Linked DNA regions of Oryctolagus cuniculus. The protein of the gene in region 1 interacts with the protein of each later gene in a pairwise test. Links are inferred from orthologs where the notes say so. Each region holds a gene or a part of one and is shown in the gene's direction. Other genes may lie near its edges. The genes, in order: MAPK14 and DUSP1.

What was found.
Region 2: the proteins of MAPK14 (region 1) and DUSP1 interact in binary tests that used the Homo sapiens proteins (3 or more experiments, as listed by UniProt). The link is inferred for Oryctolagus cuniculus from reciprocal best matches to the Homo sapiens genes MAPK14 and DUSP1.

What each region holds. Positions count from the first base shown.
Region 1 is NC_091436.1:133,476,854-133,484,289, reverse strand, and holds the start of MAPK14 (mitogen-activated protein kinase 14), read left to right. Parts: upstream 1-2,517; 5' UTR 2,518-2,880; coding exon 2,881-2,996; intron 2,997-3,588; exon of another isoform or gene 3,589-3,723; intron 3,724-7,436. UniProt on the Homo sapiens protein: Serine/threonine kinase which acts as an essential component of the MAP kinase signal transduction pathway.
Region 2 is NC_091437.1:59,319,780-59,327,339, reverse strand, and holds DUSP1 (dual specificity protein phosphatase 1), read left to right. Parts: upstream 1-2,590; 5' UTR 2,591-2,866; coding exon 2,867-3,233; intron 3,234-3,510; coding exon 3,511-3,656; intron 3,657-3,997; coding exon 3,998-4,217; intron 4,218-4,632; coding exon 4,633-5,003; 3' UTR 5,004-5,706; downstream 5,707-7,560. UniProt on the Homo sapiens protein: Dual specificity phosphatase that dephosphorylates MAP kinase MAPK1/ERK2 on both 'Thr-183' and 'Tyr-185', regulating its activity during the meiotic cell cycle.

The sequences.
Region 1 (7,436 bases):
GGTAGGTCCCACGTAGCAAGATCCACTGAGTCAGAAACCCGGGTGTGTGTGTGTGTGTGTGTGTGTGTGTGTGTTGGGAGAGGGTGGCAGCTGATTTTCAGAGCCCTCCTGGTGACCCTGATACAGTATAAGGACCACCACAAATGGCATCGCTTGTCTTGAGTCAGCTTCTCAGTGGTAAGTTGTTGGACAGCTGAAATACAGGCAACCTACCCTTATCCACCCATTTACATAAGCTGTCTTCAAAGTATTTTAAAAGCCAAGAATACAACATTTAAATACAACCCAATTTTCTGTCTGCTGACCCAATAGATGTGACATCCAAAGGACTCATTTAATTGTGAGAGTCTTCCATATGTTCCCTATAAGCATGGGAAGGCAAAATTCACTTCCAAAATTTGAAAGTAACTTGTAATTCGCTCACACACGCCTCTTAGACTGTTACCATTAGGATTTTTATCCTAATGCATTTGAAACACAGAGAAGGCATAAGCAAAGAGCATCATTTTCTTTTTTTTTTTTTTCTTTTGACAGGCAGAGTTAGTGAGAGAGACAGAGACAGAGAGAAAGGTCTTCCTTCTGTTGGTTCACTCCCCAAATGGCCGCTACGGCCGGCGCTGCTCTGATCCGAAGCCAGGAGCCAGGAGCTTCCTCCTGGTCTCCCATGCGGGTGTAGGGCCCATGGACTTGGGCCATCCTCCACTACCCTCCCGGGCCACAGCAGAGAGCTGGACTGGAAGAGGGGCAACCGGGACAGAATCCGTCGCCCCAACCGGGACTAGAACCCGGGGTACCGGCACCATAGGTGGAGGATTAGCGTGATGAGCCGCGGCGCCGGCAGCAAAGAGCATCATTTCCAAGTTCCTTCGGCCACTGTCTAGCGGCTGGGCGTGACTGCCCTCCATCCAACAAAGCAAGAGTGGGGCTGGCGCTGGCCTGACTCAGAATGGGGACCGGGGTGTTGCAGCAGTCTTCGCCTCTTCGCCGGGGGACGCCCGTGCATAAACAGGATTGGATGGGAAGAGGAGGAGCCAAGGGATCGGGAAGGGGTTCAGTCAGGGAGCATAAAGTGACGAGACCGACGGGGCGGGCGAGCCAACTCCAGGGCGTCTGGAAGGAGTCCGCTTGCAAAGGGCACGAACTGCCTCTTGCCGGTGCCGTTCCACGCGGCCGTTCAAAGCAGAGGCGGGAGATAAGCTTCCAGGCACCGTCGTCAGCCACTCACTCTACCAATATTGACCGAGCGAGCGCCCGCGACGTGCGGGACCCCGCTGCGGGCGGCGGACCCAGCCCGGCCCGCGACCCGCGACTCTCTGCCTGCAGCCCCGCCTCCCGGGCGGCCCTGGCAGCAGCTCACCTGTTTCCCCGCCCGAGGCGGGAGTGCGGCGGGCGGCTCGGGTCTCCCAGGGCTCTGGCCTGGCTGGCAGCGCTGCCGACCCGGACGCCGGCGGTTCCCGAGCCGTTGCGGCCGAACCCGCGGGCGTTCGGGGCGGGCGGGCAACGAGAGCGGGGGCGAGGAAGGAGAACACGGCCGTGGGAGCCCTCGGCCCCTGTCCTGGGGTGGCCCTCAAAGGATCGGAGGACAAGATAGACTCCCATCCTTGCGCTCAGGGTAGCAGGCGTTAGCACGGGCCGGGCCAGCACCAGTAGGTATGGGCCTGGGGTTACAACACTTGCCCACTCGCGGGTATTTTCTTGTCCCTATGAGGTGGGAACGGAGGACCGGAGTTCTCTTGCAACTGAGCAGGGCCTACCGGCTTGCCTAAAAGCGACATTGCCACAAGCGCACTCCCTGCTCCTCCGCCTTCCTGGGAGAGCCCCCACTTAAAATCTCCAAGTCCTCTTCTCAGGACTGCTCTTGGGGCCGAAGTCGGTTTATAAGCTTCGGGGCCACGGCTTTTAAGACACATCAGAGCCACCTGTACGGCCCCGACCCCCGCAGAGGCCCCTGAGGGTCCCGGGGCGACCTTTGCACCCGTTCGGGTGCAAAGTCTCGGCTTCCAGCGGGGCTAATATTTGTCTTTGGGGCCGATTTCGTCAGCGTCCCGGAGGGTTAGCCATCTGTCCATGAGCACACGGGAATGCGACGGCCTTCTGACTGGAACCAGTTTTTGACGCCGGTATTTCTTGGAAACGGCGGAGTTCCACCGAGCAGGTGCTCGGCCGCAGTTCCAAGATCTGTTGGCTCTTTTCCCGACACGCTTACTCGTCCCCGTCGCTCTCCGCAGTGGTCAGGCACTACAGCCCCACCAACCACAGTGGGGCGCGCGCGGCCTGTGGTGCGCGAGCATCCCCGCCTTAGCCGTCCGCCTCGGCGCCCCGAAGAACAGTCCCCGGGAGTTCCTGCCTCTGGGCTCCAGCTGTTGCTCTCTTCTCGCGAGAACTGCTCCTCCGGCGCTCTCTCCTCCCGAACCCCCTCCCGCGGGGAGGTTCCATATTGGGTAAAATCTCGGCTCGCGGAGAGTCCCGGGAGCTGATCTCGCGAGAGGACGGCAGGCGGCTCCTGTTCGCTGGCTCTGGAACTGCGACCACTGGAGCCTCAGCTGGCGCTGCAACTGGAGCGGGAGTCCAGCGGCACGGCCCGCCGTCGGCCCGGCCCGGGAGAGGGTGCAGGGAGACCCCGGCGGGCGCAGCCCTCAGCCTCGGAGCGCGCTCCTGCCCTTTGCCGGGCTCGCCTCGGTCCCTGAGGCGCGTCCAGCAGCTGCAGCTGACAGGGGCCGCACGCGCGGGTGTCTGCGGGGGTCTCAGCAGCCGCACCTGCGCGGCGGCCAGCGCGAGGTCCCCGCCCGCCTGGGCGGGCGACGAGGGCCGGGGAGCGGGCGTGGGTGCAGGCGGGGGCACCTCAGGGCCACCTCCTCGCCCCGCGGCCGTCGCTGGAAAATGTCTCAGGAGAGGCCCACGTTCTATCGGCAGGAGCTGAACAAGACAATCTGGGAGGTGCCCGAGCGTTACCAGAATCTGTCCCCGGTGGGCTCTGGCGCCTATGGCTCCGTGTGGTGAGTGTTGCTAGGCCCGGGGCCGCGGTGGGTAGGGTGGCCCCTGGTGCCCGAGGGCCAGGCCTGCCCCCGCGGCTCCGCTATGCGCCCAGCGGCAGGAATTTCCCCCGAGGGAGAGCATGGCTGTCCCTGCACCCCCTGCATCCCGCAGCCTGCACGCCCAGGGCGGTGGTCCATTGCGTGCAGGCGCAGGTCCGCTGTGGGCGGTAGGTGGTGGTGCTGGCTGGAGCTCGCTCCTGGCGCACGCCCTGCGCTTTCGTTTCGCTGAGCGCTGCTCCCCCCCGGGGGGCAGGCCCTGGGGGAGGGGCGGCTGTTCTGCGGGGAGCTGGGGAGGGGGGTCCCTACGAACACTTTGCAGAAGGACCCTCTCCCGGGGGTGCACCCGTCCCGGGGGCGCGGACGACCCGGGGAGCTGCGGGAGAAAGCAGAACCCGGTTGGGAGATCGGGTGGTCTGAACAAAACTGACGACGAAGGTAGCCCCCTCCAGGCTTTTCTTTCTTTCCTTCTTTTTTGCAAACCTCTGTGGAAATCCCGTCTGGAGAAGCGTTCTTTTTGAATTCGCAGCGACCCATAGGGCTTAAAATATCGGCTTTATCTCGGCGAGCCCTGTGCCAGCTTGAGTGGTGTGTTTCCGATTCGGTCGAGAGCGTGTTTCCTTTCCGTGGAGGGCGGCGGTGGTGGCTGCCGCTTGAGAAACTGGCGGCCTGGCTGATTAGTCACATACCACTGCTCATTTAAAGTATTGTTTGACGAAGCAGGGTTCTCACGGGGAGCAGGGGAGCCTCGGATCCCTCCGCCGCGTGCCCTCGAAACCCAAAAGTCGCTCACGGTGCAGGGAGCTACTGTGAATATTTGAAAGTTGAGATAATTCCTGTGAATCGTGTATTTTTAAGGCCCCTTGGAGAGTGTGCAGAGACCTTATCTGTGGCTATGGCCTGAGATACACTTGGTTTTCGTTAGGATCGGGAACTTCCAGGAGAAGAAAGTTAGACACCGGCCAGCTGTCCTTTACAAGGTGCCTGTATTTAAGTTGACACCAGGACATTTCCAGACCTGAAGTATTTCACTGACTTCTCTAACTTCCAAGGCCTTAGACACTGTATTTTATACTTAGTATCTTTTGAGAGCTCCTGATCTGAAACTAAGTGTCCGGCTTCATAGTAAGCTTTTTCCTGTTTTATCAATTCCTGGGCATGCATGGGTGGAAAAGGAGCTAGGAAAATGCTTTTTTTGTTTTGTTTTGTTCGGAACAAATTCCAGGCTTTTGGATTTGTTCATCTTTAAATATGATTCCCGTGTTTCTTAAAATCACATCATGAATTTCCTGTTTGGTAGAATCTTCTGGGTAATTGAGATTGTGCAATTGTGTCCAGCAACAGATCGTATTGCATTTTCTAGTTCAAGCCGCTTGAGTAATGCTGCAGGTGTCACCGTGGCTGACATCTTTCTCCCACTTTTACGCTGTGGCAGTTAACCTTTTCAAGGAATTTGAAGCTTTTTTAGTTAGTATATATACTAGTTATTGATTTGCTAATTTTCAGAGGTGTATTTAGATAATTGCTCCTTTAAAATTTAAGGACTCTGTGGCCAGCGCTGTGGTGCTGTTATCCCACATGTGCGCAGACTTGAGTCCTGGTGGCTCCACTTCTGATCCAGCTCTCTACTGTGGCCTGGGAAAGCAATGGAAGATGGCCCAAGTCCTTGGGCCCCTGCACCCAGGTGGGAGATCCAGAGGAGACTCCTGGCTCCTGGCTTCAAATCAGCCCAGCTCTGGCCTTTACAGCAGATGAAAGACCTTTCTCTATGTCTCTCTTCTCTCTGTCTGTAACTCTATCACTCAAATAAAATCTTTGAAAAAAAAATTTATGGGCTCATTAATATACCTCCATTTTTCATTCTTTTTAAGGTTTTATTTATTTATTTGAGAGGTAGAGTTACAGGCAGTTGAAAGGGAGAGATGGAGAGATAGGTCTTCAATCCGCCAGTTCACTCCCCAAATGGTCACAACCGCTGGAGGTGGGCCAATCTGAAGCCAGGAGCCAGGAGCTTCTTCTAGATCTCCCACATGAGTACAGGTGCTTAAAAATTGAGCCATTTTCTACTGCTTTCCCAGGCCTCAACAGAGAACTGGATCGGAAGAGGAGCAGCCGAGAATCAAACTGCCGGGACTCAAACTGGCACCCATATGGAGATTTAACCTACTGCACCACAGTGCCACCCCCTCCATTTTCCATTTTTTTTAAAAAAAATTATGTATTTGAAAGGCAGAGTTAGAGGGAGAGAGAGAGAGAGAAAGCTTCTCCCTGGTTCACTCCTCAAATGGCTGTAACAACCAGGGCTGGGTTAGGCTGAAGTCAGGCACCTGGAACTTCATCCTGGTCTCCCATGTGGGTGAAGGGGCCCAAGCACTTGGGCCATCTTCTGCTGCTTTCCCAGATACGTTAGCTGGGAGATGTATAGAAGTGGAGCAGCCAGGACTCCAACTGGAGTGCATATGGGATACCAGCTTTGCAGGCAGCAGGTTTAACTTGCTGTGCCACAACGCCTGCCCCTGTTTTTTCATTCTTGAGTTGACACATGAATTTTCATAGTATTCATCAAGTTTTTGTTTCCGGTGATATTTAAGCATTCATGGACTGATAATAGCGGGACAACTCAACTCTAGGGACTGTGGATGAACTTGAATTCAACTGCTGGCAAGGTTTTCTTGTTGCTGGTATGACTTGCTCTGTGCTGGAACAGAGACGCAGATTTGCAATGTGGTGTCATCAAGCTGAACTGCACGTTTCTTTAGTACTGTGCTTTCTGTAGCGTCCAAGCCAGCAGTATCTGACACTTGAAAGTGTTTTGGTTAAACAGTTCTTTAAAAATAGGAAATACATTAACATTGTATAAAATTCAGAAGGAAGTTACTCAGTGAAAAGTCCCCTCTCCTTTCTGTTCTCCAGCCATGCTATTCCCTTTCGCAGAGAGAACCGCTGTTGTTTCTTATGTGTCTTTAGGGGAGACAGAGTTGTTTTGGTTGCTTGCTTATTTAGCAGCATTTCTAAAGCTGTAACTTAAATGCAGCATTTAAGATGCAACTTGGATATATTGGTGGAAGAAAATACAACTGGAATTATGTAACAGTTGACTGTTTAAAAATGTATCTGATTTTGGAATGTAAATACCAGAATTTAGAGTTACAAGTAAGTGTTATCTCATCCGAGTAAGTACTGTAGTTATTTGAAGTTTTTTTTTTTTCCAATTAGCAGCTTTTCAGGTGTGGGAAAGAACAATTTTTGGAACTGCTGTTAGAATCCACTTTGCTACCCATGTTACTTTTCTCTGTCTATCCTTTGAGAGCAGATTTGCTTTTAGGGAATAGCAGTTAATTTGAATTCAAATAGTTTAGGGAGTTTGGACTCAAGTCTAATGAAAATGATCAAGCAGTCAGGTTGACAATTCTGTTGTAGGTCAGATAGGAGTCAGAAATTAGCGTAATGACACAGTTTTTTGTGACTTGTCTAACTGGACCTGAAGTATCTCTCAATTTTATTTTAAGGAACGCAACCTACGCATTGAAATATGTCAGTTTCCTATATTCTGAAATATGATAGCTTTGATGTATAACCTTTGAAAAAACATTTAAGCCTATTTTTATTATTTTAATTTGTATAAAATATATGGTAAAAAATAAAAGCCGGTAGCCTATGTGATAACCTACTAGAATCAAAGATCAAGGAATCGTACTAGCAATTTGAGCATTGGTAGGGTTTCATAAATATGCCTTTTCTTTTTAAAGGGTAAAGGGAACTAACTAAGCAGTTTTGCAGTTTTAAGGAACTTTGTGCATTGTCTGCAAGGGGAAATGAAGCAAAACTGTTAAGAATATGTTGCTGCAAGGCATTGATTTTGTGGTTTTGGGACATAAGGGAAGAAACTTTGTGGTGAGTTTGAGGAAATGTAAACAGGAACTTAAGTGCCTTTCCTCTGGGGTACTTTTTTCCAGTCCCTTGCTATTGATTAGAGGAGGTAGGGAACTGGGAAACACACAATAGGAGGTGGGAGTTGAGAATTACTCTTGGGTTCTATTCAACTACTTATTCAGTAATATGTATTTGTTGCATACCAACTATGGGCCAGATAGGGGGCTGGGTTTTTGAGATAGAAGGCTCAGCAAAACAGAACAAGACAGCTCATTCCCTCTTGGAGCTTATGGCCTAGGAGTTTTAGTAACCGCAATGTAAGGATTGCTTGCTTACTCTGTTCCAGGCATTGTGTTATGTACTTTATCATCAGCACATAAATTACATAACAAAATGTTTGTTCAATTTACTAAGGAATTAAGTCCAAATTCCTAAGTGCTTTGTGGAACAGAATTGTTCCAATAAATATTATAAAATATGAATGAAGCTAATTTTTTTTAGTATTAGTGACCATCACTTGAAATGAGCAAG
Region 2 (7,560 bases), on another chromosome or scaffold:
GGAACCGCCCTTCCACGGAGGTGGAAGGGATGGTAGCCAACCCGGGAAGGACCAGCAGCCAACCCGGGAAGAACCAGCAGCAAACCCGGGGAGGGCCGAGCAGACGAAAGAACAGCGCAGGGTCCTGTGTCGTTCCTCCACGAAGACGGGGAGCGACAAGTGGGAGCGCCACCCTGCTTTCCCATGACCCCATGGCAGATTTGAAGTCAACTCTGAGAGCAGGATTCGGCCAGGGATTGCAGGCCGGTGCCAGTCATGGCTACACAGCCCTCCAAGATGTGATTATCTGTCCATCACAAGGGAGAGAGGGAGGGCTCAGTGAAGGGAAGGAACCTACTGAAGACCACACGGTGAGGCACTGGCTTCTGGGGGCGTGCGCGGCCCTAGGTCCTTCCCACTGCCTCATACCGCCTATAGGCTCCTGTCTTAGCACATCTGGAACCAGGAAGGGCCCAACTCAGAGACACCCATGAGTCAACACAGGCTGATTCATCCTGCTTCATACCCTCCTGCCAGCCAGGCCCCTGGTGCCAGCCCCCCGCTCTCTCTGCAGTCATTGGAGGCCAGGTTATGGGGAGCCTCTGCTTAGCTCCACCCCTAGCCAGGAGCAGCGTCTCCACAGCCTGGATTGGGAGCCCCGGTGGCTACACCTTTACCACCTGGCTCTGGGCAGGTGAGCCGTGGATGTGCCCCATTGTGCTAAGGAGGGACCTTTCTCTGAGCTGGCCCATGTCCCTCTCCCAAGCCGCTGGCTTGCCCGACTGCCTCTCGCTTCTGCGGCCAGACCCTGAAACGCATGAGAACTGCTCTGCTGGGAAGGGGAAACCCGAGATGTTGAGTGAATCACAAGGAGAAGCAGCGCAGGAGGGGTTGGCTTCAGCCGCTCTCATCTGGGACCTCAAGCCCTCCACAAGGTCGGCTGGGACAGACCCACTGAAGAGGTGTGGGCTTGCACATCACTTGGGGAATAAGAAATCAAAACGACCCTGGGGTTCATGCCAGCTTTTGTACCCTTTCCAGCAAGGGATGAGAGGGAAAACTCACGAGGCCCGCAGACTCCCAACTCGAGGGCTGGACTGTGCCACGACCACTGTGCCATTTGTATAAAAAGGGGCTCTTTTTGAAACATTTGGGTAGAGGAATGTAAAATGAATACTCTTGGTTAAAAAAAAAATTTGGGACGGATCAAGTTGGTATGCAGAGAAAAGTCAGCAGCCCGAACATTCTGTGATTCAACGCAAAAATATGTTGAGTTCCTCAGCTGAAGTAGAATAAACAAACAGAGGATTCATTTTTTTTTCTTCTTTCTCGCCATCTTTCCCCTCTTATCTGAAGCCTGCTTTACTGTTGTCCTGGGCCAAGGGTCCAAGGAAGGTGGAACACTAGTTTAACAAACACACGTTTCTAGAAGCATCTGAGCACAAAGTCTCTGCATGGCACTTGGCACAAGCTACGCTAGGCAAAGGGAGAAGCTGTCTCTGGTGTTAGAACCCACAGAGGGACGACGCAGGCTGGCAGCGAACACCCCTCCCCCCAGGAGAGCAGAGGGGAAACCGCAGAATGTTCCCGATTCTGCACTCGGCCGGTGGCGCAAGGTTTGTTTGTGGACCCGACATGCCGCTGTCGCCGCGAAGGCGGCTCTCCTGCCCAGGGGGTGGTCAGCAGGGCTCGGGGCGCGCGTCTTGCAGCCGCTCTCCCCGCGCGTGGCTGGGTTGTGAGCTGGGGAGCGCTGGGCAGACGCTACGAGGGCGCGCAATGGGGCTGGGGTGCGCAAAGCCGGGGCCCAGGGGCCTCGGCCTCGAGCCAAGGTAACACGCGCGCGCGCGCACCAGCGACCCCAGTGGAGCCGCCCGGCCCGTCCCCAGGCGCCGACCCGCGCGCCCCCCGCCCCGGGCTTGCCGCCCCGCGCTCTGCCTTCCTCTGCTCCAACCTCGTAGGGACTACATGACTAGAGGAGCTATTTGTCCCGCGGCGGAGATGGGGGGTGGGGTGGCTCACTGGACGCCATTGTTCTTGCTCAACGTATACAAAGTTTTTCTTTCTTTCTCACTCCGGCCTCTCTCCTGGTGGGGACGCCATTTCCAGGGACAGAGTTGTTCATTCTCCGCCCGCCCTCCCCGGTCCACATCGTGAGCTCCTCTCCGCCGCCCCCCACCCTCCACGCTGGCCGTCGGGACCCCGGCAGCCCGGCCCGTTAGCGAGGACACGAGGCGAGCGGCCGAGAGGACCCAGCGGCGGCGCCGAGCGCCGAGAGGCCGAGGCAGGTGGCGGAGGTCAGCCTTCGGCTGGCAGCGCGCCCCTGTCCTCCCGCGGGGCGCGTACAGCCGAGCCGAGCCGAGCCGGCTGGGTCTCTGGGGACGAGCCAGGAGCAGGCCGGGGCTGGGGCGCGAGCCAGCTCGCGGGGAGCGCACCCCGCTCCGAGGCCGATGACGTCTTTGCCTCTGGCTCTGGTGGCGCCGGGCCGGGCCGGGTGGGTGACGTCACCACCCGGTCACGTGGCCGCCATTCAAACAAACAAACCCCCCTTCCCCCTCCCAGCGCGCGCCAGCCCCGCCCCGCCCCGCCCCCGGAGAGGCCCATATAACTGCACTCCCCGGGGCCGAGCTCGTCGAGAAGGACGACTGGATTGTAGGAGAGGCGCTGCGGTCGCCGGAGCAGGGACGGTCCCGGGAGCGGCTGGAGAAAGCCCGGGTGGCTGCAGTCCCGTGTGACGCCCTTCGCTCGGCCCAAAGGCAGTGTCTTGTTCCGCGCCCAGAGAGTCGGGGTCGGACTTTTCCTCGAAAGCCGTCGCCGCTCTGCTCTTGGCGTCCGGGGACAGACAAAGGACTCCGGAGCGACGTGCACGCTGGGGGCTCTGAGGCCGGCCATGGTCATGGAGGTGGGCATCCTGGACGCCGGAGGCCTGCGGACGCTGCTGCGGGAGCGCGCGGCGCAGTGCCTGGTGCTGGATTGCCGCTCCTTCTTCGCTTTCAACGCTGGCCACATCGCCGGCTCGGTCAACGTGCGCTTCAGCACCATCGTGCGGCGCCGGGCCAAGGGCGCCATGGGGCTGGAGCACATCGTGCCCAACGCCGAGCTGCGCGGCCGCCTGCTGGCCGGCGCCTACCACGCCGTGGTGCTGCTGGACGAGCGCAGTGTCGCCCTGGACGGCGCCAAGCGCGACGGCACCCTGGCCCTGGCGGCGGGCGCGCTGTGCCGGGAGGCGCGCGCCGCGCACGTCTTCTTCCTCAAAGGTACGACCTCGGGGCAGCGCTGCCTTGCCGGGGGCCCCTTGGCCCTTGGCTCTCTAGTGGGGGCGGGGACCGGCGCCCGAGTCCTACCTGGAGCGCATGGGCGCGGCGTTGTGGCTCTGGGGACTTGTCACACCGGCTTTGTCTGGTCCTGGGAACAAAGACTTGCTTGGGCCTTAGCGATATGAACTTGGAGCGCCTGGTGGGGTGGGGGCTTTGTGGGAAGGGACCTTGGCTCAACGATGCTGATGGAAGCAAACCTTCCTCTCTCTGTTGCCAGGAGGTTATGAGGCGTTTTCGGCGTCCTGCCCAGAACTGTGCAGCAAACAGTCGACCCCCATGGGGCTCAGCCTTCCCCTGACCACCAGTATCCCGGACAGCGCGGAATCCGGATGCAGCTCCTGCAGCACCCCGCTCTACGATCAGGTCAGTGGGGCCCCGTGCCAGAGGGGAGGAGTCGGGGCCAGCAAGGCTTGGAAGAGGGTGCCCGTGAGAACGTGGAAAGTGACCTGCAGCTTTATTTATAAAGGGGACTTGGGGACACTCAATGGCTCTGCGTGTCTGATGCATGGCACTACAGAAATGAACTGGCTGGTGCTGCCAGGGGCACATGGGCTTAGACCCCTGTTTGTTTATACTCCAGCAGCAGCAGCAGGGGTACTGAGAAGTTCACCACTGACTTTTCCACTGGGGAGTTTTTGTGGGTGTGGGTGCTGGTGGTGCCCTGGAGCCGGCCTGAGCAGTGTTTGGGTCTTTCTGCCTCACAGGGTGGCCCGGTGGAGATCTTGCCCTTCCTATACCTGGGCAGTGCCTATCACGCTTCCCGCAAGGACATGCTGGATGCCCTGGGCATCACGGCCTTGATCAACGTCTCAGCCAACTGTCCCAACCACTTTGAGGGTCACTATCAGTACAAGAGCATCCCTGTGGAGGACAACCACAAGGCAGACATCAGCTCCTGGTTCAGCGAGGCCATCGACTTCATAGGTGAGTGGGACGGACGCCCGGCACTGCTGATGCCTCCCCGTTTCAACCTGTCTGGCAGAGGACTTGGGTGCTGCTCTTGTGAGCCATCCACCAGACATGAACTGTCCATCTCGGGTGGACATCATCCTTGCAGAATGAGGACTTGATGTCCCACCCTGCGCATGAGCAAACCGAGGCTTGGCAAGTGGACTTGCCCAGAATCAACCTGCTAAGTGGAGACACCCCATCTGGGTTTAGTCCCTTGCTGCCCCTTTGCACGGTGCCCTCCATGATAGCATAAGTCCATGGGCTAGCGTAAGGTGATGTTGGCCGCCTGGGTAGGACACGTGTGACATTGTTCTTTGACGCTTTTTGCCTGGACTTGGGGTCCCTCTCCCGAGCTCTCTAGTAAGCAGCCGCACTTCTTGTTTTCCAGACTCCATCAGAAATGCCGGAGGAAGGGTGTTCGTCCACTGCCAGGCGGGCATCTCCCGGTCCGCCACCATCTGCCTCGCTTACCTCATGAGGACTAACCGCGTGAAGCTGGACGAGGCCTTTGAGTTCGTGAAGCAGAGACGGAGCATCATCTCCCCCAACTTCAGCTTCATGGGCCAGCTGCTGCAGTTTGAATCGCAGGTGCTGGCCCCGCACTGCTCGGCGGAGGCCAGCAGCCCCGCCATGGCTGTGCTGGACCGCGGCACCGCCACCACCACTGTCTTCAACTTCCCCGTCTCCATTCCCGTACACCCCACGAACAGTGCCCTGAGCTACCTTCAGAGCCCCATCACCACCTCCCCCAGCTGCTGAGAGGCCGGGGCGGGGCTAGGAGCGCCACCTCCACCTCCACGCGCGCCCGGGACTCCAGGCTTCCTCCTTGGTGGAGAAAGGCAATGACTCCCGGGAGGGGGCTCACGAGCGCACACCGGGCCTTATTTATGTAACGTCACCTGGCTTCCACTGGGCTCCTCTGCAGTGGTAGCGGTGACAGCAAGATGCGTGTCGCACCCAGCACACGGGGACCAATGTGTAGTGGGTACATCAAGTCCCTCCGACAAAACAGGGCAGGAGAGGAGGACTGTTTGAGCCCATGTCTTTGTTGCTGGCCCCTGTTTTTTTGTAGAAATCTTCGTGCTTGGCACACCTACCAGTATTACCATTCCTGAAGACATACACATATGAGACTATCCCTTATTTATTTTTGTGTAGGTGGTCCGCCTTCACACATGTCAGTGTCTACTTCTAGAAGAACCAAATACCTCAATTTTTGTGTTTTGAGTACTGTACCGTCCTGTAAATAGACCCAGAGCAGGTTGTTTCCAGCACTGAGGGAAGACACCAGTGTTGGCTTTTTGTTTGTTTTTTTCTTTTTTTTTTTTTTAGTTGCCAACAGTTGTATGTTTGCTGATTATTTATGACCTGAAATAATATATTTCTTCTTCTAAGAAGACATTTTGTTACGTAAGGATGACTTTTTTATACAACAGAATAAATTATGGCATTTCTATTGAAATCTCAAGGCTTTTATTTCTTTGGCTGCCTCAGCCAGCTCCTCTCCTGCAAGTGAAATAGGGAAGAATTTGGATGAGGGTCTGATCCTGTGCCCCTCCGTGGCCACTTGGTCCCGTGAGGTAGCCGAGTCATAAGGGAGGTGGACAAGAGGTCTGTCGGGAGACATCAGCGCTGCAAGTCTTACTAGAGAGGGTGAGAATGCCCCGTTCCCTTTTTAACAGTGGTGTCATCTGCCGTGTCACCTGGGATGCCCTCGTGTCCCCACAGCCACTTGGCCTGGGTTGCCTTTTCATGGAATACCGTTCTCAGGATGATATAAAAAGTCTCCCTCCACTCTAGGCTGTGTCTAAGCACTTGGCATAGATCACATGTGTTCTGACTGCGAGGCGGTGTGTGCCACCTGCCCCCAGAAAAACAGCCCAGTCTGAAGATAGGGAGACCCAGCCTAGCTCAGCGGCAGCAGGGGAATCAGAACCTGCTGTTCCGTTTTGTTACCTGATTTTTTGAGCTTTGGGTTTTATCACTCAGTCTCACATGCTTTTGTAAAGACCCTCATTTCTATGAAAATACATTAAGTGGCTAAAAAAAAAAATCCAAGCACTGTAAGCGAATAGAATACAGATAAATCACCAGCCAGACCCTCACCCGCAGCGTGACCACTGTTATGGCTTGGGAGGCTGTTGATGCCAGCAGTTCTGCAGACTGGCTCAGGGGGTGAAGGCTCAGTGTTTGGGGCGGCTGCCTCCTCCTGCCCACTTGCTTAATCTGATTTCATAATTTTGATGCAGAAGATAGGTGATTAAGCTTGACTTGCTCTAGGGTAATATTCTGAATTTGTACTCTCTCTTGCTCAGCAGAGAAGCTGTAATTTACTACCAACCCATAATCCAGTCTGTAATGTTGAATTAAATAACCACCAAGCTCTCTCGGGTTACTACAGGCCCTTTTAGGGCCTGCTTCCTGCTGACTTGTGCTGGATCAAGTGTTGTTGGAAGCAGAGAGGGAGATATCCCCTTCAAGTTAGCTAGCAATGCTCTGTGCCGTGGTCCTGGCCTAGGTCCTGATTCCAGGTCTTGACACTGACCGCGGTGTCCTTGACCTTTCTCCATGGGTCTACCACCAGCTGCTTGGCTCCGGGGCCAGAAAGATCCCTGTGTTCTAAGGACTTGCCCTGAGTTCGTAGGCTCATTTCCTCAGCTGGGTTGGGTTTCCAGTCTATGGCAAGTGTGTTCATTCTTTTCAAAACAAACCATACCCGATGTTTTTATCGAACCCTAGAAATTTACTATCGCAAACGGCTCCCTTCGTGGAAATGTACCGGGGATGGTGCCTGTGGCAGATGCTGTGGCTGACTTCCCCGTGGGCTTGGGCCTTTGCTTTCTGCTTGGCAGGCACCGGCTGAGCCCAAATTAATCTCCAGTATGATCTACTCAGTGGAAAAATACAACGACTGCCTCAGGGATCTGCCAGTGAAAATAACTAACTCACTTCTCCCAACTCAATCCACTCACCCTCATGCCAGCCCCGAGAGCCAGGCAGAATAACCCTCTTTGCCTGGGTGTTGGATATGCTGTGCCCAGGGCCTCTGGACAATGCCACATACGGCATGAGACTGTATTCATGGGACAATGACGTAGGACCTCAGTATTGAAACTCTTGAATGGTCTTGTAGTGAGAGGTGGAAGCAAAGACAACTTCATCATTTAATACTGGGAACGCGGCAGTGACGGCTGTCAGTGGTAGAGCAGGCACTGCATGCCACTGAGCTGTGTGTTTTGCTTGCGCTTGCATTTAACTTCTAACAGCAACACCCATTTCACAGAGCAGGAAACTGAGGCTCCCAGAGAGGCACCCA